7 linked regions of the Ovis aries genome follow. The protein of the gene in region 7 purifies or fractionates together with the protein of the main gene of each other region. This does not show direct contact. Links are inferred from orthologs where the notes say so. Each region holds a gene or a part of one and is shown on either strand. Other genes may lie near its edges.

The links.
Region 1: the proteins of SIRT1 (region 7) and ZEB1 purify together in Homo sapiens (affinity purification with western blotting; 4 studies listed by BioGRID, with this or other methods). This does not show direct contact. The link is inferred for Ovis aries from reciprocal best matches to the Homo sapiens genes SIRT1 and ZEB1.
Region 2: the proteins of SIRT1 (region 7) and TOPBP1 purify together in Homo sapiens (affinity purification with western blotting; 3 studies listed by BioGRID, with this or other methods). This does not show direct contact. The link is inferred for Ovis aries from reciprocal best matches to the Homo sapiens genes SIRT1 and TOPBP1.
Region 3: the proteins of SIRT1 (region 7) and BRINP1 purify together in Homo sapiens (affinity purification with western blotting; 6 studies listed by BioGRID and IntAct, with this or other methods). This does not show direct contact. The link is inferred for Ovis aries from reciprocal best matches to the Homo sapiens genes SIRT1 and BRINP1.
Region 4: the proteins of SIRT1 (region 7) and EP300 purify together in Homo sapiens (affinity purification with western blotting; 3 studies listed by BioGRID and IntAct, with this or other methods). This does not show direct contact. The link is inferred for Ovis aries from reciprocal best matches to the Homo sapiens genes SIRT1 and EP300.
Region 5: the proteins of SIRT1 (region 7) and ECT2 purify together in Homo sapiens (affinity purification with mass spectrometry; 3 studies listed by BioGRID). This does not show direct contact. The link is inferred for Ovis aries from reciprocal best matches to the Homo sapiens genes SIRT1 and ECT2.
Region 6: the proteins of SIRT1 (region 7) and JUN purify together in Homo sapiens (affinity purification with mass spectrometry; 4 studies listed by BioGRID and IntAct, with this or other methods). This does not show direct contact. The link is inferred for Ovis aries from reciprocal best matches to the Homo sapiens genes SIRT1 and JUN.

What each region holds. Positions count from the first base shown.
Region 1 is NC_056066.1:33,350,478-33,355,291, forward strand, and holds the start of ZEB1 (zinc finger E-box-binding homeobox 1), read right to left. Parts: upstream 3,181-4,814; 5' UTR 3,162-3,180; coding exon 3,104-3,161; intron 1,302-3,103; exon of another isoform or gene 985-1,301; coding exon of another isoform or gene 978-984; exon of another isoform or gene 676-977; coding exon of another isoform or gene 660-675; exon of another isoform or gene 1-659. UniProt on the Homo sapiens protein: Acts as a transcriptional repressor. Inhibits interleukin-2 (IL-2) gene expression. Enhances or represses the promoter activity of the ATP1A1 gene depending on the quantity of cDNA and on the cell type.
Region 2 is NC_056054.1:256,420,762-256,424,781, reverse strand, and holds part of TOPBP1 (DNA topoisomerase 2-binding protein 1), read right to left. Parts: intron 3,795-4,020; coding exon 3,621-3,794; intron 3,517-3,620; coding exon 3,407-3,516; intron 1,080-3,406; coding exon 956-1,079; intron 373-955; coding exon 226-372; intron 111-225; coding exon 8-110; intron 1-7. UniProt on the Homo sapiens protein: Scaffold protein that acts as a key protein-protein adapter in DNA replication and DNA repair. Composed of multiple BRCT domains, which specifically recognize and bind phosphorylated proteins, bringing proteins together into functional combinations.
Region 3 is NC_056055.1:4,122,719-4,127,266, reverse strand, and holds the start of BRINP1 (BMP/retinoic acid-inducible neural-specific protein 1), read right to left. Parts: upstream 3,167-4,548; 5' UTR 2,889-3,166; intron 1-2,888. UniProt on the Homo sapiens protein: Plays a role in neurogenesis and brain development. May suppress cell cycle progression in postmitotic neurons by inhibiting G1/S transition.
Region 4 is NC_056056.1:218,165,487-218,169,506, reverse strand, and holds part of EP300 (histone acetyltransferase p300), read right to left. Parts: intron 2,994-4,020; coding exon 2,832-2,993; intron 451-2,831; coding exon 169-450; intron 1-168. UniProt on the Homo sapiens protein: Functions as a histone acetyltransferase and regulates transcription via chromatin remodeling. Acetylates all four core histones in nucleosomes. Histone acetylation gives an epigenetic tag for transcriptional activation.
Region 5 is NC_056054.1:215,421,153-215,425,172, forward strand, and holds part of ECT2 (protein ECT2), read right to left. Parts: intron 3,401-4,020; coding exon 3,322-3,400; intron 2,918-3,321; coding exon 2,798-2,917; intron 130-2,797; coding exon 1-129. UniProt on the Homo sapiens protein: Guanine nucleotide exchange factor (GEF) that catalyzes the exchange of GDP for GTP. Promotes guanine nucleotide exchange on the Rho family members of small GTPases, like RHOA, RHOC, RAC1 and CDC42.
Region 6 is NC_056054.1:33,493,514-33,497,975, reverse strand, and holds JUN (transcription factor Jun), read left to right. Parts: upstream 1-1,312; 5' UTR 1,313-2,232; coding exon 2,233-3,240; 3' UTR 3,241-4,006; downstream 4,007-4,462. UniProt on the Homo sapiens protein: Transcription factor that recognizes and binds to the AP-1 consensus motif 5'-TGA[GC]TCA-3'.
Region 7 is NC_056078.1:23,651,314-23,655,333, reverse strand, and holds part of SIRT1 (NAD-dependent protein deacetylase sirtuin-1), read right to left. Parts: exon of another isoform or gene 3,933-4,020; coding exon of another isoform or gene 3,900-3,932; intron 3,403-3,899; coding exon 3,255-3,402; intron 2,364-3,254; coding exon 2,284-2,363; intron 1,167-2,283; coding exon 980-1,166; intron 1-979. UniProt on the Homo sapiens protein: NAD-dependent protein deacetylase that links transcriptional regulation directly to intracellular energetics and participates in the coordination of several separated cellular functions such as cell cycle, response to DNA damage, metabolism, apoptosis and autophagy.

The sequences.
Region 1 (4,814 bases), on a different chromosome or scaffold from region 7:
ATATATTCCAGAGAAGAAATTAAAATATTTTACTGGAGGCTGAGGAGAAAATCTGCATGCCTTATTTCAAAATGAACAAAAAATTATTTACATATAAATTACAGCATAAAGTACCTCCATGACTATCTCCCACTGTATACATCACATCATTTATTCCTTCATTAAAAAGATTTAAGAGTTAACATTTTTTCCAAGCGATTCTCTCCAGTAACAACTGCAACTTACATATGATTGCGTTGCTAAGAAATCCTAACCAGCACCTATCCTGAGGTTTCACAACACAATGGCGTGTAACTTCATTTTTAATTTGCAAATCAGGAGGCTTAATCAAATAGCGTGGCTGTAATAATCAGCAATGGATGAAATGAATCTGAGAACAAAAAGAAATACAAGGACGGAGCCAAAAGTGATGAAAATGGAAGATACCTGTAGTAGCACACTGCTATCTGAAACACCTTTTGTTTTCTGAGAGTAATCCTCACTGCAGACAAGACGTTTTGTGCTAAACATCCCCAAATCTGTTTTTCTAATATTAAACACAAAGGAAAAACACTGACAGCAGGCACGGTAAATAAATCCCTCCCTTGAGAATGAAAGCAGCAGACAGGAGCGGGCTGACATACATGCAGGAGGAAAACTAAACCCCATCTTTTTTCTACCTGCACAAGTTGCCATTTGCTGCAGCGATCCAACAGCTCTCTTTCCTGTTGATTTCAAGTACCTTTCAGGATCGCTTTTTCCCCTTAAGTCATCTGTTGATATGCCTGATGGGTGTAATAGTCACATCCCAGGATCTTTAGAAGAAAAATCCATCCTTTCCTGCTCAGGTAAACATGTTTACAGCAGCTGCACAGACGCTGGGTGGTTCAGACTCACATGTCACACACATGTCGTCAGCAACAAGAAAAGCCCCTTTCTCTGGCGATGAACATTTTAAATAAGGTAAAACGCGAACAGCCCTTTCCAGACCAACTTACCTTTCATAAAGCCACATCAGCAACAGCAGCAACAGCTCAATATAGCACACACACTGTTTGACGCTAAAACAGGAAATTAAAATTGCAATAGCCTGTGCTCCGCTCCTGGCCGTAACAAGTCATCTCTCCACAACGAGGACGCCAAATATTAGTTATCGATCATCACTTATCAGACGTCTTTAAAATGCAAATGTGTATTTGGATAACTAAGACCGTTCACGAAAGCGGCGGTTTCAATGTCGGCTAGAATAAATTAAAATTACGTTTACATCTTGAAACCGCCTAAAAACCTCCGTATCTGCTTCTAGACAGGAAATCCCACACAAAATCTAAAATTGCCAGGAAAGGTTACAAAACCTCGCGTTTCGCATCCCGCAGGGGAGGGAGAAAGGGAGCCCGGGCCTGGGGGTGGGGCGAGCGCCGGAGAGTTTTGACTTAAACCCGTATTTCCTCATTTTCTGGAGGATACGGAGATCCCGTTCCAGGCGCATTTATTTCCCTACTCTCAGAAACTCGTTTTAAAAATAACGCAGGAACCCATACGAGCCCCTCGGTCCGCTAGATCCGTGCAATTCCTTATATAGACTCGGCCGCAGCCAGCGGCAGGGCCGTAGCCGCCCATTATTCTCCAAACAGGTACCGGGCGGGCGGGGGCCGCGCTCCGGCCTCGGCCCTGTCGCCGCAGGAACTGTCCAGACAATACCCACCAGCAGACGGTCGCCGCGGAGCGGGCGGGCGGGCGGGCGCAGCATCGCCCCCCAGATAGCAGAAATGCAACCAACTTCCACCGTCTCTCCCCACCGCAAAGGGCGACTGTGCAACCCAACACATGTTCGGGGCTCGCTCGCTCGCTCTCCGGTTATTATTGTTATTTTTCTAAACTCTCACGCCAGGCAGATGGGGGGTGTGTGTGTGTGCGCGCGCCCCTCCCCGCGCAGCATCAGCACTCATTAGTAAACCCGGCGGCCGCCGCCGCCGCCGGGCGGGCAGCGGCGACCCGCGTCCGTCGGTCCGGCCGCCCCCCTCCCCCACACTCCTTCCACCCGAGACCCCGAGCGCCGTCCAAGCTCCCTCCGCCGGTTTCACGCCCCGCGCGTCCGGCCCAGGTAACAACTTCCCCAAACCGAAAGAGAACAAGGGAGGCGCACGCTCGGCAGCCCATCCCCGCGCAGAGGAGGCGTCCTCCCGGGCGGGGGGACCTGTCTGCGGTTCCTCCCGGTCCCGAGACCAGGTAACAACTCTGCCAACCCGCCGCCGCCGCCGCCCCCCCTACACACCCCACGGCTCCCACGGCCGCGGCTCCGCGCCCGCCCCGCCCGCCGGCTCCCCGCGGGACGCGGACCGCGCTCGGGGCGCTTAAGGGACCGGCACCCCACCCCGAGGACCGTGAAGCCCCGTCCCGCGCCGAGCGCGCCTCGCCGGCCGCTCCCAACTTTACCGCCACCGGCCTGGCCCGTCCGCCCGCCGCGCGCTCCGCGCACACGCGCGCACGGACGACACGCAGCCCGCGGCCGCCGCGTCCCGCCGCCGCGCGCCCGCAGCCCGGCCCGCCCGCCTGGCCAAGCCGCGGGGCCCGAGCCACCGCGCCGGCGGGGCCGCGGCGCGCGGAAGCCACTCTGCACGGGCAAGCGCCGGGCACAAGTTAGTTCCTCGGCTCCGGGGCCTCGGCGCCGCGGGGACGAACCGCCGAGGAAGCCGAGGAGGCGGGGAGGGGGGCGCCGAGGGGGCACAAGAGTGGGGAAAAAGTGCGGAAAGAAGCAACAGCCGCTCCCCCCCGAGCCCAGAAAAGTGGGCGCCGCGTCCCGGCCGCCCGCCCGCCCGCGCCGGGGATGCGGCGGCGGCAGCGGCGGCTAACGGTCCAGCGAGGCGGCAGGGGCGGCGGGAGCCGCTAGGCGGAGAGACCAGGTAAGAGACATAACGGTTCAGGGAGAGCGGGCGGCCGCGGCGCGGCTCCGGCGGCGGCGGCCCGGAGGGGGGCAGAGAGCACTACTTTCTACTTTCCCACTCCACTTGGCCCGTCCCTGCCCGGCCGCCCCCAGCCCAGCTCGCCCCCCTCGCCCTCGGGGGCGCACCGGCCGCCCGGCTCCCCCTGACTCCGCCGCTCCCCGGTCCCCTCCGCCACTCACCGTTATTGCGCCGCGGGTTCGCCTGCTTTCTGCGCTTACACCTGGGGCCATCCGCCATGATCCTCTCGCTTGTGTCTAAATGCTCGAGTCACCTCCTCCCCCTCCCTCCCTCCCCCTTTCCCCCCCCCCGCCCCTCCGCCTCCACCCCTCCCCCCTCCCCACCGCACCTGGTTTACGACACTCGCGGCTTTACGACATCACCTTCCTTACACCTAGAGCCACTCGCTCTACGGCCGGAACCTTGTTGCTAGGGAGAGGACGGTTTGCGGCAGACGGGGGAGCAGCTGAGTTTGCATGGAGGGGCGAGGAAAAAGTTTCCTCCAGGTGTCGCGGGCGGGGGTGGCGGGGTGGGGGCGCGGGGGAACCATGTGGACGTGGTCCGAAGGGCGACTGGCCGTCGGAGCCGAGAAAGGTAAAATAGGAGCCCTGAACTGGCCACACCCGCTGCGGCCGCCAGGGGCACGTTCGGGTCTAGCTGATTCTCGCCGTTATCCCGTGCCCTCGGAGCCGCCCCCGGAGTGGCGGGATCGACCTGTCTTCCTTCGGCCTTACGGGGGGCGGGGTGGAGGGGGTGGCGGTTCACGCAACCCCGGCCGCCCGGGGATGCCTCGCAATCGAGGGGCGGGCAGGCGGGTCTGGCGGGCGGCTGGTTCGGGACACGCGGCGCCCCGAGACTCCCTGCCCCTCCTCGGACGCACGGTTCCCTCCCCCCGCCCCCGAGCAAACCGGGGGTGGGAAGTGACTTCAACGAGGTAGAAGTTCAGCTGGACCGAAAGAGGGGCGAGAAGTTCCGCTTGCGAGCCACCTCGGCGGTGAAGCGGAATGAGTAATCCCCACGCCGGCCTGTCTCACTTCCTTCTGCGCGATGGGCGCTCACCTGCTGTCACCTCGGCCGCCCCCGCCCCCAGGCCGCGCCCTCCTCCCTGCGGCCACGTCCGCCCTGCGGCCCCCCGCCCCCAAGTACATCGGCCAGATCCGAGGCCCCCAGACTTAAGAGTTAAGGTGTTAACAGGCCACAATTTAGTATCTGGGAGAGCAGCGGTCGCTGTGCAGAAACTTATGGCGTGAAACGAGGGCTGGCAGGTGTGGTCTTGGCAGGTGATGGATGGCGATCTTATCTCGAACTGTGTACAAGTTCAGGGATTTCTGAAAGACCACGTAGATACCAGCACAAATACCAAGAAGGTCACGTCTTGAGTATTCAGTAGAGACTTTGCTCTCCCCTCCTCCCCGTCTTCAAACGAGGAAATATCTTTGGGACCAACTTGAGGGAATACAGCTGAGCTGCGTTTCGAATAATAAAGAGTTATAAATGAACATTGTAAGAGATGATAAAGAAGTTGAGAAGACTGAAACGTCACAAAGTATTAGAAGTCACAGTTAACCTACCACAGTGCTGTCAAAGTAGGTCCTCAACAAATTTATGCCTATGATTTTTGCCATGCCGACGGCAGGACTTTTTTATTATGTTAATTTTTTGAACACCGTCCAGGCTTTTGGAAGATTCATTAATAATCTCTCCAAACCTTTCATCTGAAATAAATTTACAGCTGAAGTCTAGTAATTTAAAATTAGAAAGTTTAATCCTGAATATAGATGAAAATTTTCTCTCCCACGTTTGCTTTGGCATTTTGATAAGTGGATGTGTTATTTATTGGTGCATGAAAGGGGACTGTAACTGTTCTTTGCTGTGCATTATGTCTGTGTGTCT
Region 2 (4,020 bases), on a different chromosome or scaffold from region 7:
ATTTTACCTCCTTTAGAGTCATTCCTTCCATTTCCATTTGATGTTGTTAGTTCTTTATTACTGGTGGTCATATTGTCTATATCATTTTCTTCTACAGGCATATGATCTGGCTATTAAAGGAGAAAAATTAGTTTCTCAAATCAAGCCCTGTATAAGGCTTCACAGCAATATATGACTGTACATTCAGCTTAAAGAGGGGGTAAATGTATCATCCATATCGTTTACCTCATCATCCCTCATTGGAGAGCCAGCTGAGGATAGTCGGTTATTACAGAGTCGGCCATCTTGCACTGTACTGATGTCCAAGCTCATTTTGGGATTATAAGTATGCGGATAAAGAGATTCAGGAAGATGTTTATACTCCTGGGCACACTGTAATGCAATGGTGTGCTTTAAAACAGGACTAAAAAAAATTTTAGTGACTTAAAGATGTTAAGTAGGAAAAAGACAGCCCAAACATTATGTTATAAGATGGCAAAAGTTCACAAAATTAAAGTTTTGAAAAGCAGTTGACTTTAAAATTCCATCATACAAGTAACAATTTGTCCTCACTTTTAAATGTCCTGCCCACTAAAGTATAAAATCTAATTCTATTTCTATGCTTTTGCCAAAGTATTAATCACATTTCGGGGAATACCCAGAAGGAAAATGGAAGAAGAAGAAAGAAAAGAAACTGTATTGGCATGCTAAATTAATTCTCCTCAAAGCATTACAAAGTTTTCTTTCATATCATTTTTAACTAGCAAGAAGAATCAGACAATCTGAAAGAATACCCGTTAAAGATTTACTAAGCATTTAAGGATTAAAGACCTTAAGTTTCTGATGCCAAAGAAAGGAAATGTGCAATTAAATAAGGTTACCAAACTTGTTTATGTACAGAGAAATGGATTTGTGCCTTGAAGTACTGTTTATGTTTTCATTTAACAGAAAGGGGAGGGGAAAAAAGTATGCTTACTTCTAAAAGCCAGTGCTCTGAAACAATGTGTACTCCTCTTTCTTTTACAGATTTATACTCCCGATTAGTGTCATTTGGTCGCCCTTGATAGATGAAATGAGTCACTGTCTCATCAAAACTCCACCTACAACAATCAAACCCACAAGATCCTGAATACCTGAGAAAGATAACTACATTAGTTTATCATTACTCTCTATAAACAGAATATGCAAAACCTTTCAGGAACCAGAGTAAGCAAAAACACTAAATGACAGACTCCACTTTCACTGTTAAATTTTATATGCATATCTTTTAATATATAAATGCAGAGAGAGATGCAGAAACATATTCTTTAAATTATCTTCTATAATAACACTTCATACAGGTGATATAATGATAAAGATATTTTCAAGTTAAGTATCCAACCTATCCTCCAGCAGCTGGCAGCCACTAGTCACTGTACATTTGCTCTGTGCCCCATAATATTGTGTACTCTACAAAGCATTATTGATCCATTCCTCACAACAATTCTAAAATACCGTATTATTTTATCCATTTAACAGATAAGAACACTGAAGGATGTGACTAAAGTAACACACTCAGTGAATAAGAGGTAGAGCCAATTTTGACTTCAAAAAGCACACTCTTAGCTATTACACTGTGTTCCCGATTTCTTCCCATTTTATATTTCCTTAACCTAGTTTGCTAAATGTGAATAACTCGTGGTAGTCATATTACCAACAGAAATGCTGTTTATGGTATCTGAGTCTCCATATCTATTTCAGCCTATGCAAAAATGTATGTATGCAAAAATACTCCATTCCCCTCTGTGTTATCAGACAAAGGTATTTACATATTTAATGTATATTCTATTACTACGCACCTTCCACTGAGTTTAAATTATAAAAGATTTATGAAATCCATTTTAGTAGAAGGAATGTTGTATAAGTATCTGTAATAAAAAGGGAGTGCTATATCTGACGTGCCAGGAAGAGCTGGTCTAGATTTTAACTTTCCGCAGGTGGGAGACAGTAGCACTGATCTCTTTGGTGCGTATGGAAGGGAACATCTGGAACATCAGCACTTGAGAGCCGATTACCCTATGAACACACACATACTGTAACCTCTGCATAATAAGAGTTCTTTCCTCTCCTTAATTATCAAGTCTCAGAAATTCACTTCAGGAATACACCTAATGCAAATTCCAAATTAATGCCATTGACTATTAAATTCTGTTTAGGGATTTCAGCAATGTATTTTTTTTAATATATTGAGAAGACGGGGGCATTTATTTATTTTGGTTGTCTGGTGTGGCTTGTGGGATCTTAGTTCCCTGACCAGGGATAGAACCTGGGCCCCCAGCAGTGGAAGTGCAGAATCCTAACCTCTGGACCCACCAGGAATTCCCAGGACTGGCATTTTAAATCTTATAAAAACACAAGTCCTATATGTGTCTTTTAAATCTTACATAAGTCCACATTTAAACAGAATACCCACGGACGCATTCTATTTTTAGGGCTCTTAGGGCTACTGTGAGAATGGTATGAGATAATACTTGCCTCATATTGAGCACTCAGCAACCAGGTAAGAACAATACATAGACAATACAAGTAACAGTAAGTAAGAAAGCTTTACTCTTCTACAATAGGTGAATGAAACACTAAGGTGCCTATAATTACACAAATATATTTTATTTTTCCATTCTCCTGCTTTAATTTCTCTATCAAAAAGAAAGATAACTGAAATGACTTACCAAAAGGGAAAGATAAAGCTAATCATATCCCTCAAACTGTTTGTTAACTGTAAACCAATCATTATGCTAACTATGAAGTGCTGAAAACAAGTGGTCAAGAAAGCGAGTACCGCAGACAATGAAGGAATATGATAACTTAGCACTGGCCGGAAGAGGCAAGGGTCTCTCAATCCCTGATACTGATGCCATTTGTGCTAGGGACCTGTCTCTAGCTGGCTGTCAGGTTGAGAGTGGTTATCTATGCCTCCAAAGTAAAAAAGATAGGCATTAAACATCCTCCAAAAGACCATTTTAATTCAGGAGTGCTGCAGCACTTAGTAGCACTCACAGAAGGGCTTTAATTTGAAAGTCACTAAGAAACATGCTTAAAATCTCCGACCTAAATGTATTAATAAACTCCTTGAAGACAAGGATTTTTTTTTTTCTAGACTGTACTCATTCATGGATCCCAAATTTTTAGAATAGTGTCACAAAGTATGTTCTCATATATTTGTTAAATATGCCCTAAAAACACACATGTAAGAGCGAATTGATATGGGACAGGGTATTTTAAAAGGAGGAGGTAAATTAAATAAAAACTGGATTTTGTAGATACTATGATAAACTATTAATAAAAGGCAAAATAATGCTTTTTAAAAAAAAACAGATGCTCACAACAGTTCTAGGTTTCCCTATAAATTGAGTTCATATCACCACCAAAAAAAAGATGTGCCAACTACCTGTAGTCTGCACCTAGAGAGGCTGCAATCCCGTTTAGTTCACTCTGCTTCTTACTGAGTTTCTTACTAACACACACCACTACCTTCTGAAGTGGCTTTGGAGCGTCTTCCTGCCCATGGAAAATAAAAGAAACAGATCAATTATTATTATTTTAAATGTTTCTTTTTTTAATCTAAAACTTCCTTTTAATATTAATAAGAGATATAATTCCACCTTTTCTGACTGGGCATCCTTCAGTTGAGGGCTGGCAGAAAGAGCAACAGCATTTCGAGAGCTATTTGCCAAAGCAACTTTCAGGTTTTTGACGATGACTTCTGAGAGTGGTGTACTCAGTTTCCTTTTCTGCTGGCTGGGACCTCCTGGAGTTTCCAAGGCTGCAAGTGCATCCTGTGTATATGGAGGAGGAGAGGGAGGAAGGAAGTGAGGAAAAGAAGGAGAAAAGGAAAGAGAAAGAAGAGGGGAGAGAGGGAAGAGAGACAGGTAAACAGAAAAAGGAAAGGGGAAAAAAGAGGTAAAGAGAGAAGGGGAATAATCCTCAGTATTAACTGGATTATAGCTTTAACCTCCTCCAGCTTTCCTCCAAACAACAATAAAAAGAATGAAGTATCATCTG
Region 3 (4,548 bases), on a different chromosome or scaffold from region 7:
TTCTTAAGAGCACATCTTTCACAGGACTTTACACTTCCCCTTCCCTGGGACTATAAGTCCCAGTCTTCGTGGGGGTGATGCTTTCACATAGGGGAATGCAATTTGGTGTGGAGGTTGCAATTGTCTTCTGGGAAATATAGCAAGTAGAAAGGATTTCTGAATCTGCACGTGTCTAGGTGACGACATGTATGTGTGTGCTCCTATGACGGCCATACATATGACTGTATAGAGGTAAGTCTCATTAATGTAAAGAAACGAATTTGCCTGAAGTATTTGCATTGCTAGATGGGTGGACACTTGGCTCTCTGGAAAGCAAAGCATTTCTTAATAAAGAGCTCAGGTACAGTCCAGATGCCTGCTGGCTTCTGTCTACTAGGCACGGTCAGTACCGGTCCCTGAAGCGCCTCTGAAGGCACTGGAGAAAGAATGTATGTTCTCTGCATGTGTGTGTGTGTGTGTGTGTGTGTGTCTATCTGTCTGTCTAATGGGGACTGTGATTAAAGCATTGGACCTTTTCTCTCCAGGTCATGTTTCCAGATGGAACAGCTCTGAAATGCATCTCTGAAAGGAGAAGTTTGATGAGGGAAGACGAGTGATTATCTTGGATGGGAGCGCGGTGGCAGGGCAGGGGTGGAGAGCGATATGAGAGGAAAAGACATGGACCTGGGTGTCAGGCACCACAGGCTCTAGACCTGGGCATCCCACCAACTCACTAGAGACGGTTGGGGAGTTCTCACGTCCTCTCTGGCTACAGACTCCTGCTGTCTGCTCCTTAATATTCCTTCCAGCTTTGACTGTCTACGTATTTTTAAAAAAATAAGATGAGAGCAATTCCTAACATGGGGAATCTTTTGCCTTCACACACCCCAGGCAAAGTGAACCGGGGACCTCTGCTCTGACCTAAGGTTCCCAAAGCAGATTCCTTGTGGCCGTGTGAAGGCTTCCGCCTGAGACATCAGCCTCTGACCAGAGAAGAGAGTGTCTGTGAGTGCCTGCAGGTAGCACCGCCCCCCACCCGCCAGGGCAGGTTCCTGCAAACACGTTTGCTTTTATCTCTCCCCGGAAGAGAAATAAATACGTGCAAGTATTTAAGACAAGTATATTTCTACATTCCCCCCTAGAAGGCCTATACAGGGGCCCCTTCCTGCTGAGGCCCAGTACCTCAGCGCTTGCCCTCTGGAGCCTCACTGCCTAAGAGCTGAATGCTGCCTCTTACCTTGGGAAAGTAACAGCTGCCGGAGTCTGGAAGCCATGCTAACAGCCGTGAAACTCAGCATTTTTTGCTGAGTAGGGCAAGCCTTTAAGAGGCATCCGGGAATCAAATCAATGGCTGGCCCCGGAGTCCAAGCCTAACAGGACCTGGCCAGGGAGGCCAAGGGACTTAGCGGGGCCGCCTCCTAGGAGGCGGAGGAAAGAGGAAAGAGGGACTGTCTTCGTTACTGAGATTCTTCCCACCCCCGTGTGCCCTTGGCAGTTTGTTGGAGCCGAGCAAGAGATGCGAGGTGCACATCAGCAGCAGTTTTAAGTCAATTACCGCCACATTCCACCATAAGTTCCCCACCCACAACCAGTTCCCAAATTGTAGGTCTCCCTCAGTACTGAAACACAGACACACACAGATGCGCGCACGCGCGAACACACACACACACACACACACACACACACACACACACACACACACACACACTGCCTCTCTGCCTTCTCCCAGTACCCTCCTAAGCCCAGGAGAGCCATGCGGAGGCACAGTATAGGAAAAGATTCTCTTGGGACTGCCCAGGCCTGGACTGGGGAAGGGAATGAGGGATCTGTCTTAGGAAAGTGCCCCATCCATCTCCTACCATGTTTCCCAGAGCTGCCCCCAAATGAGATTTCCTCTGTGATTCTCTGTAGCTATGATGGATGAGCAAGTCCCTGAGGGCCCTTTCTCCTCTCCCTTGAGGGGGATCCATGCAAACTTGCCCAGATCCTCCCCAGAGCACCAGAAGCAGGAGGGGTTGTAATGCTGTTATGATTACAAGCAGAGAGAGGCAGGGTAGACTCTACCCGGACTTGCCAAGCCCCAGATGAGCCCACAGATGACTTCTCTCCTTCCGTCACCCACTACCCAGTGACTCCAAATTCCCACCAGAATCCTGGAATCTGCCCAGTGTGGGATTTAAAGTGACAGCGTCTCATTGCCTCAGTTTGGCCATTTCTCTTTCATATTAAACCGTGAGTCCAAGTGCAGCAGATCTCCATCCTTTGGAGAAATCTTCCTTCAAGGGTGCCAGCACTGGGCTGAATAAGGTACCATCCCGGTTCCCAGAATCCTCGCCAAATCCCAAGCCCAGAGCCCCAGAGGGAGTCCACAGCGGGTTTCCCGATGGCTACGTGATCCTAAAACAAGGATCCGATTCCCTGTGCGCCGGAGAGACCTAATTAAAAAGAGACAAGAGCGCACATACAAACACACACGTACAAACATGCACACACACACATCGGGCCTTAAGTAGGTTATAGGACCTCTTTTCACCCCTCCCCTACACACACACACACACACACACACAAACACACATCACAAACACACGCATCGAACGCAAACGACGCCGCACACGCAAACACACACTAGCACCATATCAAGTTCTCACCATGGTACACACGTCGGGAGCGCGCTAGGAACACACACGCCACTTACTGAGACCCGCATTTAACCCTCTGCGCCCCAGAATACGGAGACACCCCTCCCTCCTGGGGACCTGCGAGGACTTGCAGGCGGCGGGGCGGCCGAGGGCAGCGCGGAAGGGTGCAGGGAGGGGGAGGGGCCGGGCGGGCGGGGGCGCCCCGCATGCGGTCCCGGGCGGTCTCCAAGGGCAGCGGGGCTGCCGGCGCGGCGCCCGGCGCTGCCTTACCTGGAGTCAATGTCCGTCTTTGGCGGAGAGCTGCGGGCGGACGCTTTTTATTCGGCTCGGAGGGAACTTGGGAGAGCCCTGCGTCCAGCTCGCATACCGGGAACGGCGCGGGGACTGCAGGCGCGGGGGTACCTGGCTCCTAGCAGCCCGGCTCATACTCAGCCGTCAAGACCCCTTCGCTGGTCCCGAGGACAGGCATGAACCCCGGCTCCGGAAGGCGGTCACTACTGCCTCTGCCTCCCGGCTCCCCGGCGGTGGCTCGCTCGCTCGCTCCCTCTCTCGCCCGCTCGCTCGCCTGCGCGTGCCTCCTCCCTCCCTCCCCGCGCCAGATCAGTTCGCAGCCGTGGGGCCCGGGCGCGAGGCGGCTAGCGAATGGAGAGGGAAGTCCAAGTGCGCCGCGGTCTCCGGGCGGGGAGCAGCGGGGGCCGGGCTACGCGGGGGGCGGGACTTACGGCGACGGGCGAAAATGAATGGGGGAGCGGCTGCCGGGGGGCGGGCGGGGCGGAGCCAGGAGCCGGGGTTTATTCCGAGGAGTGTTTCGTGCATCTTTAGGCGGAGGAGGAGGAGCGGAGAGAGGACGGAGGAAGGGAGGCCTCCCCCGCGGAGGGAGGGGCGGCCTGGGTGGGCTGAAGCCAGAGCCGCCGGGGAGTCGCGTGGGTCCGGGGCGAGGGTGGCGCGCCTCCGAGTCTGAGCACCCGGAGGGACTGCATGTGGCGTGTATGCGCAGACCCCCGCGTCGTGATGCTCTTCAGCGTGTCTGGAGCTGTGCGCGTCGCGAGCATCCGAGTGTTTCTGGGTATGCGGGTGCTTGTGTGTCGGTGCGTAACTATCCGAGTGTGGTTTTGTCTGGGGAGGTGCCCGTGCGGGTCCGTTTGTATCTAGTGCCTCTCTGTGAGTACTTAAGGCTGTTTGTTTTTCTGTATGTGTAGGCACGGGCCCGTGTAACCTCCCAGAATTAAGCGAGGGCTTCTCTACGTGGGCAGGACGTAGGAGAGAGACGCTGAGGAGACGCAAAGTTCTCTCCATACCAGAGAGAGAGGAAAGGGGCGAGGATACGGAGGCGAAGGCATTGGTACACAGAACCAAAGACTCCCCATTTAGTCTGAGATGCCGGCTGGGGCTGCTGACACGGGGGCCTCTTCCTTAAGTAGAGACGAAGGCCAGAACACAATCTGAATTCTCACACAGTGGATATTCTGTGTGCTTGCTTACTTTGCTTCCTTTTTAAAAATTTAACCCAAATCAGCAGTGAGGGCTCCTGAAGTCCCTGGAAGCCGAGGCAAGGGTCGGCATCGATGAAGGTACCAGATGAAGGGGCAGGGAACAATAACAAAAAATTGACAAGAAATTTAAAGGAAACCAGATTCAGTAAAAGTGCTGGCTCTAGACAAGTCAGAATCCTACAGCTATGTGATCTTGGCCAAATCACTTACCTCTTAAGTCTTAATTCCTCAACTGTATAACAGGAAAATATAACTACCTACTAACATGGTTGGTGGAATACTTAAATGAGTTAATACATCTAAGAAAATTTGGACTACTCTCTGGCACATCCTGAGTGCTCAAAGCATGCTACCTTTAACTACAGTTGCTATTGTTACTAATGTTATTATTATCCAAAGGGTGATAAGAGACAGATGTGATGATTAGACCTAAAAGA
Region 4 (4,020 bases), on a different chromosome or scaffold from region 7:
ATTTTAGAGAAAGCTTCTTTAGCCCAACCATTCAAATCTGACACCAGGCCCCACCTGGCCTCTTCTGGTCCTCACACTGGCCCCGGAGGCTGCCCTCAGGCCAGCACCACCTCTGAACTGCCTCTCAGGTACCTGGAATCCCCCAGCCCTCCCCGCCAAGGGACCCACCTCACACACGGTGCAATGCCAGCGAGTCTCCACGTGGTGCTTGCACTCGTTGCAGGTGTAGACAAAGCGGTCCTGGCTCTGGGTGTGCAGCTCCACCAGCATGCACATGGTGGACCACTGGGCTCTTCGCAGTGATGAGAACTCCAGGTGCTTGTCCCTTGCGAGGGTGAGAAAGGCATCCCGCCCATCCATCAGGTCACAGGGGATGAGGGGGTCGGGGTCAACAATGGGAGGCAGGGAGTTGGCGGCAGGGCCAGCGATGAGACGGATCACAAAGAAGACCTGCAACACAGACAGTCCCCTCTGGACTCTGGAACTGAGCACTGCAGGCAGCTGGCCAGGCTCTGCACCCGGGGGCCGGGAGGCCTGGCTTCCTTCTGTGGCCACCCTGCAAGGCTCCACGACACAGCCCGCGTTCTCCTGCTTCATGCATTTGTTCTCTTTTTTGAAACTGACTACAGTGGGCCTAAAACATCTGCATCTTATCTCATTCAGTAATTCTTCAAAAGAAGAATGGTCAAACACAGGGCCATACAGGGGACATTCTACTTCAAAGAGGTCAACTTTTAAGATGCAATCCATGGTTTAACCTGACTCTAATTATAAGGAAATAAATCAGAAAAACCCAAACGGATAGATATTCTACAAAGCAATTGGCCTGGAGTCTTCACAAAATGCCTATGTCATTAAAGAAAATAAAGCCAGGAACTGAGACATGGCAACTCAACATGCAGCAGAGGAGCAGATGGGAGGTGGTGACAGGGGAGAGGTTTCCTGAGTGTGAAGTCACAGCACGCTTATGCAGAGCGTGTCCTCTGTCTTAGAAGGAGCTTACTGAAATAAAATGTAGTAGAACGTTAACTGATGAATCTAGCTGAAAGCAACAGGAGGGCATCTTCTGTACTTTCCTGTAAGTTTGGAAGGAAAAAAAATTGGTAGGGGTGGGAAGAATAAAAAAGCAAAATCTTTTTCCTTGCTACAGAAACAAAAAATTTTTGTTTAAAAACACAACACAACCACTGATTCCCATAACCACTGGTTTAAAGGCTGCAAGAGGAAGCTGCTATTTCTGTAATAATAAAATGTAAAAGGGAACCTTCAAGAGATCAAGAACTTGTAACTGCTGTATTGCCCACTATAACCTGTCCATTTTTTTGAGGCTGAAAATCTATGCAAACTGGCAATAATATTTGTTATATATCTGGGCAGCAATGTTGGCATAGTACAAGAGTCTAGAAAAAGAACACAGTGACTTTCTTGGTGGTCCAGTGGTTAACACTGCTCTGCCACTGCAAGGGCATGGGTTCGGCCCCGGGTGGGGGTGGGAGACGGGACATGGGACTAAGATTGCACACGCCACGAACAACACAGGACAAGAGCATCCACACTGAGTAAAGACATTCAAAGCCAGAGTTAAAAGCTCAAGGGGGGACTGTGATACTGGGTTTGCTACTGTGGCTCAAAGCAAGCACTCACAGAGTGAGGAGGAGTGTCCTGAAAATGTGATCACACACAGGGAAGTACTGTATCTAACAAGTGGGGGCAGATCAAACCACCTGGTGACTCCCTATGGCCAACCTCTAATAACAGCCATCGTGACTGACTGCTGAATGTCACCCTAGAGCTAAAACAATACCTAAATTTAATAAAATGATTACATTAGATTCTAACTCCTAACAGGAGACTACTACCCACATATTCTTCAGATGATGTATCTACAACTGAAGTCATACCTATTACAACATACTCTAAGGGCCTTTCCTAATCGCTGTTATGACAGAGTTCCACACCTAAAATCAAACCATCAGTTCCCTCTCCACATTAATAGCCTCTTCCTGTAAGAACCTGATGTCTGAACATGGAGATAAACAGATGTTTAAACAAACCAACATGACCCTTCAAAAGGCCTCATCTTACCAACAATAATGTTGAAGGGGAAAAAACCCCCAACATACTCAGTTCTATTCCCAAACAACAAATATCCAATAATGAAATAATTCCAAGTTTTAACTTTGCTGTGAAGGCATTCATGAATGCATATATCAAAGTTTAACTTTTCTTCAGTCCTCTCCATTTGCCAATTCCCTTTCAGTATGGCAAAACATTCATTAGTTTCGCCAAAGTTCCATTAGAAACTTGAATGGCCAAATAGAGTTCTAAGGGGCTTTGGTATAAAGCAAAAGCACAAAGATACCCAAAAGATATCCAACAAGCCCATCTTCTGAACAATGGACAGAAACACAAACATAAAACGGTTACAAACAATAGGGTCAGACAAACTGCTTACACTTCTCCCAACACCATATAGCTTTGTAACAGCTACAGATCTAAGTAAGATACCTTACCATTTCATGTTCTCACTACCCTCTTTTTGCTTTCTTCTCCCTCAAATGATTTTCTTTTTTTTTTTCCTAAGGGAAAGTGAAGTCGCTCAGTCGTGTCCAACTCTTTGCGACCCCATGGACTGTAGTCTACCAGGCTCCTCCGTCCATGGGATTTTCCAGGCAAAGGTACTGGAGGGGGTTGCCATTTCCTTCTCCAGTATGATTTTCTTCCTTCTGAGTTTCAAATGATCTGGTGCTCACATCATAAATACCAACTATGGTGGGCAGTTCTGGAGGACCCTGGCCTTGGTTTTCCTACTCTGGGGGCTGTTCTCTTACCTCTTTGTGCTTCTCCATGGTGGCATACAACTTCTGTGAGAGGTCGTTGGATACGTTGGGCATGCCTGGCTTCTTCTTATTGCCCCGACTCAGGCTGCTCTTGTTTTTGCTAGTTTTTTTGTTGTTTTTCTTTTTAGCGTTTTTGCTGTCACCCTTTGTCACCTGCAGGTTAGCATGAGAGAACAAGAAATGTTAGTAACTCTTTGCTAAGAGACTGTTTACAAGTTTAGAACAGTTATTTGTTAGTAACTGTTAAGAACAAGTTTCTGATGGAGCAATAGATCATAACCTTCTAACAGCTGCTCTCTCTTCATTGCTCCTCTTTCTTTTTAAAGCTGTAAACTAAGGTTTACTAATGTTTTTGCATTAATTTTCTCCCACTGAAAAATCTCTCTGCTGATCTCTCTTCATTAGACAACAGCAGCCTTAGGTCTCTGGCCAGCGGAAGCTGCGGACCAGGAGACACCTCAGGTGGAGCCAGCCCAAACCAAATCTGAGGATGGAGAGGAGTGAGCAGCAGGTAGTGAAGTGTGCATGGGAGTAGGGAGCCAAAGGCCCTGGTTCTATTTCCTTCGACTCACTTTCCAAAATTTCATGGACTATTTAAAAAAAACAAAAAACACCTTGAAAAACATTCAATCAAGGAGTCTAAACTGCAGGCTATAAAGAATTCTTAGACTAAGGGTGATTTCAGTAGTTCAGACTCAGCAAGGGCAACCGACATATACTGCAGGGAAATAAATGACAAGGAAACCTTGTCATCTGACCTTGTCAGATGACCTGCTATAAGGCAGCTTCTGTAGGGGGGACTGGTAAACTCTGGCCCAGATTTGTTTTTTGTACGGCTAAGAATGATGGTTTTTACACTTAAACAGTTGTTTAAAGAAGAAAAAAAGAACGTGCTGGAGACAATATATGGCCCGCAAGGCCTGAAACATACATAATTCAGACTTTTGCAGAAACAGTTTATCAACGTCATGCTCTAGACAGGTAATGTTCTGTTCTCCAGGGTTTCCATTACTAGAAATCCAGGATTCCATTTAAAAATGAGGTCTGGTGCAAAAAGGGCTTAAAATCTCTAAACTAGAACCATACTAACTTATCTACACCAATATTCCGCGCCTGCCCAATTTAGAGAGCTAGAGCTTCAGGGCCCGTTGGAAGCCTCAGCTCACGTCCGGGTCATATG
Region 5 (4,020 bases), on a different chromosome or scaffold from region 7:
TCGTATGTCTAGCACCTTCTTAATCTGAGAAAGAGGCATTAGATGAATATGCTTAAGAGAAGCTGGGGGTCGGGTATGGCCTGGAGGACTCCTAAAAGTACCAATAACCTTGTGTCGTTTTCTTGCTATCTGATTATTGGGGGGGAAAAAAAAGTTGATGTCAGTAACAAAAACAAAGACCAAATGCTTAAAAATAAAATGGCAGTAGTCACATAAATCAATATGCAGCTCATTAAGTATCAGTCATTCTAAAATTATCTGTAAGTAGCACAGTTACTCAGAGAAGGCAATGGCACCCCACTCCAGTACTCTTGCCTGGAAAATCCCATGGACGGAGGAGCCTGGTGGGCTGCAGTCCATGGGGTTGCTAAGAGCTGGACACAACTGGGCGACTTCACTTTCACTTTTCACTTTCATGCATTGGAGAAGGACATGGCAACCCACTCCAGTATTCTTAACTGGAGAATCCCAGGGATGGGGGAGCCTGGTGGGCTGCCGTCTCTGGGGTTGCACAGAGTTGAACACGACTCAAGTGACTTAGGAGGAGCAGCAGCAGCAGCATAGTTACTATGTGACCAATTCATACATGTAACTATGTAACAGAAATGTTCACATTAATATGAAAAGAGCTCAAAAGTCAGGAAAACAGGATCTATGGAAAAGATTACAGAGGTGTGAAAGAACTTAGAAGAATTGTTGTGAGAAATAATGGGATCAAAGGATGAAGGAATCTTCAATAAATGGCCTTGAATTCGGAAAGGGGAATAGTTGCTCTGGGATCACTTCCTTGGGTTCAAAAAAATAACTGACTTCAGTTTAAAAACAGAATTCACAGTTATCTTAGATCCCATGCAAGGAACTGAGGATAAAGGAGCAAATAATATAGAAATGGTTCTGGGTCTCATGACACTTACATACTATTGAGAAATATGAAAATCAAAGTAACAATACATTACAAACTGATGCAAATTATAAAGTCAATGTGCTGATATAACTTTAATTAAACTGGGAACTCACCAAAAGGAGAGACAGATAAAGTATTGCTGGAGAAGACAGGAGCAAAATCAGAAAGGATCCTGTGACTTATGATGTATATAAATTCTGAGAATTTTATAAGGTCTTTAAATTTTTCATTTCTATGAAATCATAGTATATTATTTTGTCTTTTTAAAAGAACATCTCTTTCGGGCTTATGAAAGTGAAAGTCACTCAGTCATGTCTGACTCTGTGACCCCTTGGACTATAAAAAGTCCATGGAATTCTCCAGGCCAGAATACTGGAGTGGGTAGCCTTTCCCTTCTCCAGGGAATCTTCCCAACCCAGGGATCAAACCTAGGTCTCTTGCATTGCATGTGGATTCTTGACCATTTGAGCTTATTTACTAAAAGACACTAACACAAAATAATTTAGATTAAGTTGCTTAATGAATTGAGATTGATTGGTCATATTCATCATGATGAATATGACAAAGTAAGGCTGAAATCTGTGTTGGTTAATGAGAAAAGATCAAAAGGCAGTCAGTATCACATTCACATTGATGCAGAAATATGACACAGATCTATGATACATACCAAATATTAAAAACCCATTTATATTAATGTGGCAAAAAAAAGTAATTCTTTAACTTCCACTGTAATATTTGAATGTACTTTTAATTTAGCTAAGTAAAATAAATAATTTTAAGGCTCATTTTTAAAAAGGAAAAACAATGACAAGTATTAATACTGATGAAACAAATGCTAGTCCATCAAGGTAAGAACTCAAAATACAGATACATCACCTGTCATATCTAAGTGATGTCAGTTCAGATGTTATTCATTTTAAATGTTTCTAACATTTACCATTCTCTTCATTCCAAATTTGCTCTGAGTTTTGGTGTTAAAAAAAAAAAAAAACAAGCTAAAGAATAAGAGCTTATAAATCTAAAGGTCCAAAATTTGGGCTCCAAATTGAATGTTAGAAATAGAACTGTTATAGTTAATGTGATTTTGACATGGAGACTAAGAGAGAGTAGAAAAAAAGTCAGTGAATTCAGGAAAGATGAAGGAAGTAAGAGGCCAAGCTATGAGATAACAGACTTGGAGGCTACAAGGAATGACCAATGGCACGAATTAGAGTGCAAGGTAAGTCAATGAGCCAGTTGTAGAAGACATCACAAAAACTGAAGGGGAAGTAAAATAAAAAAATTTAAAGCAAGCCACAACTCTCCAAAGATTCAAGAGGATAAAGACCTGGGTTCCATCCCTGGGTTGGGAAGATTCCCTGGAGAACAGGATGGCTACCCACTCCAGTATTCTTGCCTGGAGAATTCTATAGACGGGGAGCCCGGTGGGCTATAGTTTCATCAGCAGGGGATTGTAATTCATTATATTAAATAATCAAGTTATGTCCATCTTCAACAAAATACAGATTTCTCTGCTGGGAAAATGTACTTAATTTTAAAAAGAAGTCATAATTATTTTGTAAATCTTGAAGGAATATACATATATACAAGAAGTTCCTAAAATTCTTAATCTAGGCATTTATTTGCAAGGAAATAAACTAAATTTTCATTTTGACATGGATTTGAAGTTATGAAAAAATATCATATTTCTTAATGTTAGGTCCTCTCCTAAAAGCATTCAATTAATAGCATTAAATCAACAATTGGTCTCATCAAAAAAGTGATTAAACTTTACTTTAAACTTCTTTAATCAATTAATTTAATTAAAACTTATTGTTTCAATCAAAGCTTAGTTTTAAAGATTCAATGAAGTCAAACAGCAGTGTTATTACACTGTATTAAGGACAACTTTACCTCTAGGCAGTCATTGAAGAGGAAGAGAGTTACTTGTTCTCCTCTGTCACAGGGGAGCTCACCTAGAGAAATTGTTTCAACTCGCTGAACTAAGCTTCGGTGAGAAGATAAAAGATTAGCCTGAATAGATTGAAAATATTAATAAAAGAGATTACTTCATGGTAAATACTTTTTTAAAGTTATAATTAAAAAGAAAGTTGTGCCAAGATTCTGTTTATATTATAACTGGCAGAATCTAAATACAGCTGACCCTGAACAACACAGGTTTGAGCTGCACTAGTCTACTTACACAGGTTTTCGTTTTTAGTAAATAAGTACTACAGTATTACATGACCCATGATTGGTTGAATCCATGAATACACAAGCACAGAAACAGAGTGCCAACTATCAAGTTATATGCAGATTTTCTTTTACTCTGGCCAGGGGGTTGGTGCCCTTAACTCCCAGTAGTTCAAGGGTCAACTATAACAAAAACAAAAAGAACAAAAAGAATAAGTCGACAATCATCAAAAATGAATACTTACTGGACATCCATCGACCTCATAAACAACATCGAAAATTTGCTTTTGAGCTTCTGTTTTTCTCTTATCCTCATTAATATGGCTGAAAATTAATAAAGTTATTTTTAAAACAACAGACCATAAAAACTGTATATATACACATCTTGTGTCACACACACACACAAAAATCCCTCCATGTGAATATGTCTTAATTTTGATAACCATATCAGTTAATATATTCCCTAAAAGTATCCCACTACATTAAAAATTTCTTCATAGAATCCTTCAGAAAAGTAAGTTTTGCTTTATACTCCTTACTATATTCTCTCTCTCTCACTTTAAACTATATTCATCATACACTTCCTAAAATACATTACACTGGTATAAACTGCAAGTTCAGAAGTTTTAAGTTCAGGTAAGGTTTTATGCAAATCATTCCCAAATTATATGCTAATCATTTCACTGAAATAAAAATTAAGACTATTGCTTCCAGACAAGATGGAATAAGAGGAAAAATACATACTTTGCCCGAAATAACTAAAAAAAAAACCCAGCAAAGTATAAAGAAAGAGGTTTTTCAAGTCACTGTCTCAAACAATGCAAGCCTAATTATATCTCATCTACAAAAGATACATTTTACACCAAAGACATGAATAGTCTAAAAGTAAAATAATGAAAATATCCAGTAAGAGCACAATATATTCCTCTCAAGTGTACATGGTA
Region 6 (4,462 bases), on a different chromosome or scaffold from region 7:
GTACACTTTCGTCCCTAAGGGGCGCGGGGTTGGGGGAGGAGAAGAATAACCACCACTGAAAAGGAACCACTTACATGGGTCTAGCGCTTCCTAGAGGCTACACAGGATATGGGCCCACCCCCCAGCCGGGAGCGGAGAAATTTTAAATCTTTATTCTACTCACTCGCTGCGTGACTTTTGGCAAGTGTCTGCTGCTCTCGGACTTGTTTTCCCGGAAGCAAATCGGGGCGGGAGGAGTGGCGTGTGCGTGTGTGTGTGTTTGTGTGTACATGTGATGTGCGGTGTGTCTATGCATGTTGTGCGGGGGCGGAGAGTAGACTATCACCGGGGTTCCCCGAGTTTCGGATTCTCCAAACGCTCGTTCAAACTAGACGCCGAGTTGCCCCTTAAATCCACCTCCTGTAAGAAACCTTTCCGAGGCAAAGATGCGAACCCCCGCACCCTTTCTCCCACGGTCGGGAGGGTGAGGTGGGAGTGCGGAGGGGACTTAGCCGAACACCCAGTTTCAAGCAATGCAAATCACTGGACTTCCAGACAGAGCCAGACAGTCGCTACTGAACTTGACCAGGAGACAAACTTCAGGGCATTCTCAACGTGGGGGGCCGACTCTCACGAACTGCCCCCAAATTTAAAAGCCACTTTCACTCGCCCCCACAGGGGACTTAACAGAGCCACCTTAAGGGCGGTGCTCCCGCCCCCCGGAAGTGCGGGGGGGCCAGGAACCCAGGCGCTCAACGGGCCCGGCCCGCCCCGAGCGGCGGCGAAGTGCCCGCGGGTGACATCGAACCCCCAAGTGGGGAAATACCACCCGCCCCGCGCCCTCGGCCCCAGACACCTGGCTCGGTTCCCCTGGCCTCCTGGGTCCTAGCATCCCTGGCATTCCCATCCGAGCCCTAAACTTCAGCCCACTTCCCTCAGAGGCTGGGAGCGCCGGAGTCCGCCCGGCTCGCGGCAGCCACCGTCACTAGACAGTCAAACCCCAAGACGTCAGCCCACAATGCACCGGGCGGGCCGGGAAAGACGCGTCGGGGAGGGAGGGGGAAGAGAGGGGCGCGAGTCGCGCGGAGCGGGTTGGGGGGAGGAGGAGAAAGAAGGGCCCAACTGTAGGAGGGCAACGGAGCATTACCTCATCCCGTGAGCCTCCGCGGGCCCAGAGAAGAATCTTCTAGGGTGGGGTCTCCATGGCGACGGGTGGGCCCGCCCCCCTGAGAGCGACGCGAGCCAATGGGAAGGCCTTGGGGTGACATCATGGGCTATTTTTAGGGGTTGACTGGTAGCAGATAAGTGTTGCGCTCCGGCTGGATAAGGGCTCAGAGTTGCACTGAGTGTGGCTGAAGCTGCGAGGCGGGAGTGGAGGTGCGCGGACGCAGGCAGGCAGACAGGCACAGTCAGTCGAGAAGGACAGCAAATCCTATTTTCCAATTTCTCTCCAACTGCCCGGAGCTAGCGCTTGTGGCTCCCGGCCTGGTGTTTTGGGGAGCGCCGGGAGAGCCCCTTCGCCAGCCGCCCCCAGGCGGAGAGCCCCGCTGCGCGGGCGCTGCTGACAGCGCGGAGAGCGGCCACTGTCCGCCCGGGGAAGTCCGGAGAGCGGCTGCAGCGGCAAGAACTTTCCCGGCCAGGAAGACAGGAGACAAGTGGCCGCCGGGTCCCGGAACGAACTTTTGCAAATCTTGCCTCCGCCCGAAGCTGCCGCGGCGGCGGTGAAGAAAAAGAGGCGGCGGAGAGAGGAGGACGTGCGCTCCGCTTCGCTCGCACCGGTTGCTGAACTTGGGCGAGCGCGAGCCGCGGCTGCCGGGCGCCCCCTCCCCCTCTCAGCGGAGGAGGGGACAGTCTTCCGAGTCGGGGCGGCGGACACCCGCCGCCGGCAGGCAAACGCGGGGTCCGCGCTCCCTGCTATCACCGGGAAGCGAGTTCGTCCGCGGGCTCTGAGGAACCGCTGCGCTCGAGAGAGCTCCGTGAGTGACCGCGACTTTTCAAAGCCGGGCGGCGCGCGCGAGCGGACAAGTAAGAGCGCGGGCGGCGTCTTAACCCTGCGATCCCCCGGACCGAGCTGGTGAGGAGGGCGCCGGGGGCGGGGGCTGCCAGCCGGCGGGGGCGCGCGCTCTTCCAGAAACTTTCCTTGCTCACTGCCCGGGGAGGCGCGGGTGTCCCCCGCTTGCCAGCGCGCTGTTGCGGCCCCGAAACTTCTGCGCGCAGCTTAAACTAAGCCCACGCGAAGTGACGGACTGTTCTATGACTGCAAAGATGGAAACGACCTTCTACGACGATGCCCTCAACGCCTCGTTCCTCCAGTCTGAGAGCGGCGCCTACGGCTACAGTAACCCCAAGATTCTGAAGCAGAGCATGACCCTGAATCTGGCCGACCCGGTGGGCAGCCTGAAGCCGCACCTCCGGGCCAAGAACTCCGACCTCCTCACCTCGCCCGACGTTGGGCTGCTCAAGCTGGCGTCGCCCGAGCTGGAGCGCCTGATCATACAGTCCAGCAACGGGCATATCACCACCACGCCGACCCCCACCCAGTTCCTGTGCCCCAAGAACGTGACGGACGAGCAGGAGGGATTCGCCGAGGGCTTCGTGCGCGCCCTGGCCGAACTGCACAGCCAGAACACGCTGCCCAGCGTCACGTCGGCGGCGCAGCCGGTCAGCGGGGCGGGCCTGGTGGCCCCGGCGGTGGCCTCGGTGGCGGGCGGCAGCGGCAGCGGCGGCTTCAGCGCCAGCCTGCACAGCGAGCCGCCGGTCTACGCCAACCTCAGCAACTTCAACCCCGGCGCGCTGAGCAGCGGCGGCGGGGCGCCCTCCTACGGCGCGGCTGGCCTGGCCTTTCCCGCGCAGCCCCAGCAGCAGCAGCAGCAACCACCGCAGCCGCCGCACCACCTGCCCCAGCAGATACCCGTGCAGCACCCGCGGCTGCAGGCCCTGAAGGAAGAGCCGCAGACGGTGCCCGAGATGCCCGGGGAAACGCCGCCCCTGTCCCCCATCGACATGGAGTCCCAGGAGCGGATCAAGGCGGAGAGGAAGCGCATGAGGAACCGCATCGCTGCTTCCAAGTGCCGGAAAAGGAAGCTGGAGAGGATCGCGCGGCTGGAGGAAAAAGTGAAAACCTTGAAAGCGCAGAACTCGGAGCTGGCGTCCACCGCCAATATGCTCAGGGAACAGGTGGCCCAGCTTAAACAAAAAGTCATGAACCACGTTAACAGCGGGTGCCAACTCATGCTAACGCAGCAGTTGCAAACGTTTTGAGGCGAGACTGTCGGGGGCTGAGGGGCAACGGAGAAAAAATATAAATAACACAGAGAGACAGATTTGAGAACTTGACAAGTTGCGAGAGAGAAACAGAGAAAAAAACAAAAGTGTCCGAGGACTAAAGCCAAGGGTATCCAAGTTGGACTGGGTTGCGTCCTGACGGCGCCCCCAGTGTGCACGAGTGGGAAGGACTTGGCGCGCCCTCCCTTGGCGAGGAGCCAGGGAACGGCCGCTCGCGGGCTGCCCGGGTTTGCGGACGGGCTGTCCCCGCGCAAACAGAACGTTAGACTTTTCTTTAACGTTGACCAAGAACTGCATGGACCTAACATTCGATCTCATTCAGTATTAAAGGGGTGGGGTGGGGGAGGGGGTTGCAAACTGCAATAGAGACTGTAGATCGCTTCTGTAGTACTCCTTAAGAACACAAAGGGGGTGGGGGAGGGGAGGCGGGAGGGAGGTTTGTGAGAGCGAGGCCCAGCCTGCAGATGAGCTCTTTCTGGCCTGCCTTCCATAACTGTGTATGTACATATATATATTTTTTAATTTGATGAAAGCTGATTACTGTCAATAAACAGCTTCATGCCTTTGTAAGTTATTCATGTTTGTTTGTTTGGGTGTCCTGCCCAGCCTTGTTTGTAAATAAGAGATTTGGAGCACTCTGAGTTTACCATTTGTAATAAAGTATATAATTTTTTTTATGTTTTGTTTCTGAAAATTCCAGAAAGGATATTTAAGAAAATACAATAAAATATTGAAAAAGTTACCCCTCCCCCAACCTCTTTTCTGCATTATCTATAGATTACTTGTCTAGGTGGAGTTGAAAGAGTTGAGTGTCAATTAAAATCACTGTGGGTGCTTCTTACTAGCAGGCCCTGAAAACTGTTGTCTGCTTGACTTGAGAAAGAACTGCAGCTGATGCTGTCATCAAGTTAATACTTTTCCCTCCCCAGCAATCTACATAGAGTTGCTTACCAAGGATAGTGTGCCATTTCAGGAAGATGAGCGAAGGGAGGTTGTGGTGGAGATGGACAGCCCACTGGGAAATCTAACATTTTAGTTTGGATTATATCAAGTGGCATGTGCTGTGACCATTTATAATGTTAGTAGAAATTTAAACAATAGATGCTTATTCTCAAAGCAGGAACGGTGGCAGATTTTTTACAAAAGCTGTATGCTTCCAATTTGGAATCTTCAACGATTCCTAGATAAAAGAGATGGT
Region 7 (4,020 bases):
AAGTGACTTAATATGCAAAGTTCTTGGCTCTTAGTAGGTGAGAGTTTTCTCTACTTAAATGGCTTCTGATATAAAGTATATACCAGTCTACTCTCCACTTTTGCCTAATATCACCAACATGTTATACTACCCCACAGAAAGCTTGTCAGAAGTTCTCTGCTCTATGTTTAAACAGAAAAAAACTAAGCTTAGACATTTTCTTTTTAGTTACAAATTATCCTATAATCTTCTTGAATAGTTTCTATTAAAGCAGCAGTTTAGCTGCCTATTGGCTGGTGTGAGGGTCTAATTCTCTCGTTAAGGGTTTGATATTCTCTTCTCTGCCCCTTCCCTCACTTTTATGGCACAAGTGATGCAACTGAATTAGCCCCTCTATCTTCCTCCCCCTTACTTGCTCACTAGAGGGAGAAAAAAATGTAGTATCGGGGCATGGGTTAAAGAAATATTCTTGAGAATAATAGGAAATTCAGTTGTATTCAAGCATTTTTATACACATGCACACCCTTTTTGTTAGAGCTGATCTACATATAATGCTTATGATTGTTATTCTTACTAAAACAATCATTTTGAGTCCCAAAATTCTCTTACATGAGTACTTACACAATATCAAGCTATTCATCTGAACTTACTAGAATGTGAAACATTAGCAACAGGCTCAAATTAAGATTAAAATAGATTTTTAATGTTTCCCATGTATATGTAAATTAGCTGATGCTAACGCCTACCGCATTAAAAACACATCCCACTGAAAAGTTCCGTTGAACTGTTTCCCTTTGTTATTCTGTTTTGAAAACCCTCTATTCCCATTGAAATTTCAGATTAATCAATCTTCATGAACAAGAATATGTCACCTTTAAAAACCAAAGTTTGGCTCTTTACTACTCTTAATGAAAAACAGATCACTGGAGTATGCTCTACATACCCACAACCCATGGAAAAATATATAGAAATGGTTCTCTAAAAATCATTACCAACTTACTTGGAATTAGTGCTACTGGTCTTACTTTCAGGGAAGATCCGATAACAATGAGAAGATCAACTTCATCTTTGTCATACTTCATGGCTCTATGAAACTGTTCTGGTAAATTTTCACCAAAAAAGACAATCTCTGGTTTCATGATAGCAAGCGGTTCATCAGCTGGGCATCTAGGACATCGAGGAACCACCTATGTGTTCCAGATTTTGGTTGAGGAGGGAAAGAGAATGCAAGTCCCAGTTAGAACTGTCAACATTTCCACACTTAGCAAGAAATCATTTCAAATTTATCAAAGAAAACAGAAAAACTGGATAAATAGAGAAAACTGGATAAAACCTAAACATCAACTATAAATGACACCCCCACTTATTTCACTAACATACAATGAAATATAATTGTGCTATTATCTGCTGCTAATATCTGTATAGACCCACATTTGACATTAAAGAGAATTAAGAGGAAAAAGCAACATGTGTATACATGTACATGAGTCTTAACCTTTAAAAGTTTGGGACTGCCTGGACGTCAGGTGGTAAAGAATCCACCTGCCAATGCAGAGGACGTGGGTTTGATTCCTGGTCCAGGAAGATCACATGCTGTGGGGCACCTAAGCACACGCACCACAACTACTGCACCTGCCACACAGAGCCGCCCAAGAAGAAAGAAGAGAACCTACCACAGTGAAGAGCCTGCACGCCACAACAAAAAGCAGCCCCACTCGCTGCAACTAGAGGACGTCTGCACGCAGCCAAAATCAAACTTTAAAAAGTAGGAAGTTTGTAAAATACAATTCCATTCTAATATGCTATCTTCTCATAATTATATGATTTTATATACAGCTATGCACATTGAGTTTTATTTCTGGATAGTTTTTATGCTCTGCCATCTTAAAATTTTTTTGGCAATAAGCATACATGAAATATTTTGTAATGTTTAGGAAGCCAATTTCATCATTCAAAAGAGATTATGGGGACTTCTTTGATGGTCCAGTGGCTAAGACTCTGCCCTTCCACCGCAGGGGCCCAGGTTCCGCCTCTGTCCAGGGAACTAAATCCCACATGCTGCAACAAAGATCCTGCACAAAGATCCACAACTAAGACCCAGCGCAGTCAAATAAATACTTTTTAAAAAAGAGCGCAGTTTTCAACTTCAGGTAATGAAAGGTTTTTGGGTACTTCGCTGTAATCCCCCATAGTCATGGATGTTTCTGTACCACATAAATACTTTCAGGGGGCAAAAAAAAGGATTGAGGCAAAAGAAACAGATCAGAGACAAGCACAAATCCTAAGATACGGGTGATAAATTACCTGATTAAAAATATCTCCTCGTACAGCTTCACAGTCAACTTTATATTTACAAATCAGGCAAGATGCTGTTGCAAAGGAACCTAAAAACAACCAACAAATACACGCTTTATTAAAGAAATTTTTCTATTTCTTAAATAAGTTATAATTAAATCTGATACTAGAAAAGCTAGTCTCCAAAGGAGACTTTGGAAATTTTAAGAGGTTCCACAAAAAAGGTATTGATATAATGACCCTTCCTAAAGCTACTCTTTTAATAAGATAATACTAACTCCTCCAGGACTACAACTGCAGATTTGGAAGGTTACGATTATATTAGCTTAACAGTTTTGTTTCAGAAACAGTTTAGATACAATAAAAGTCTATTCAAACTTGTTTTAAAGTCTTCAAATTTCTGAATTCTGTACATCTGACCTAATCAGCAGTTCCTTTGATTGCCTCAGGATGCCATGTTTTTTTCATCCATAGCTAATACCACTTTTGTAATAAAAAAAACATTATTTAAAAGAATGTAACAGGCTTCCCTCATGGCTCAGTGGGTCAAGAATCCACCTGCAATGCAGGAAATGTGGGTCTGATCTCTAGGTTAGGAAGATCCTCTGGAGGAGGAGATGACAACCCACTCCAGTATTCTTGCCTGAAAAATCCCATGGACAGAGGAGCCTGGTGGGCTACAATCCACGGGGTTGCAAAGGGTCACACATGACGAAGCACAGTATTTGAAACTTAAGTGTACACAACTGCTACATCTTTTGAAATCCAAATTAACATCTGACATTGGATACAATTAAGAGCTGAGGCCAGTATTTCAGGTTTTGTATTTTTGCAGTCTACTTTCCTTATCTACACCTGATCAGGTAACATGATTAAATAATAAGGCTTAATCTCCATTCCTAAATGGCAGCCTACTTACTAATCCTAATTTTTCCTACAAAACTAATATAATGGGAAAAGCAATTCTGAAGTTTACTAACCATGGCACTGAATTATCTTTTGGATTCCTGCAACCTGCTCCAGTGTATCTATGTTCTGAGTATAGTTGCGAAGTAGTTTTCCTTCCTTATCGGACAAGGCTATGAATTTGTGACAAAGAGATGGTTGGAATTGTCCAGGATATATTTCCTAGATAATGCAAAAAGCAGAACAAACATTTAAGTGTTAACAAATGTCACAGGTTTAGGTTTAACAACAACAAAAAAACTACCAATGATAATTAGAAAATAATACATGACAATCTTAAAGCATCTAGATGGATGCAACACACACAAAAGGATTGTTGCTATAATACAAATAAAACTCAGCAATTAATAAACACAGCCTCTCAAAAAGGATAAAATCGACCTGCAAACATCTCTTATGAATGATGCTATTTCAATAAAAGTCAGAAGAAATACATACCTTAATATAGGTCTAATTTTTGTTGGCTGCAAATTCAGATTTTTTTTTTTGTAAAGGAAAAGGGAAAAGTTTATATTGAAATAAAAAATACTAGAGATATGGTGACTTCTTTTTTAAAACTAAAAAAGGCACTGTCAACATAATATTTAAAGTTTTTGATTCACCATTCATTATAAATATCAACCTGTTGGAAGTTGAAAGCTAAAGGTTTAATTCCTTACCAAAACTGTTTTCCTTCCACTGCACAGGCACATACTGGTATAGTATAGAGCTGCTCATGAATGCTGAGTTGCTGGATTTTGTGTGTGTGTTTTTCCCCCCAAATAATGCTTCAATGCTGTT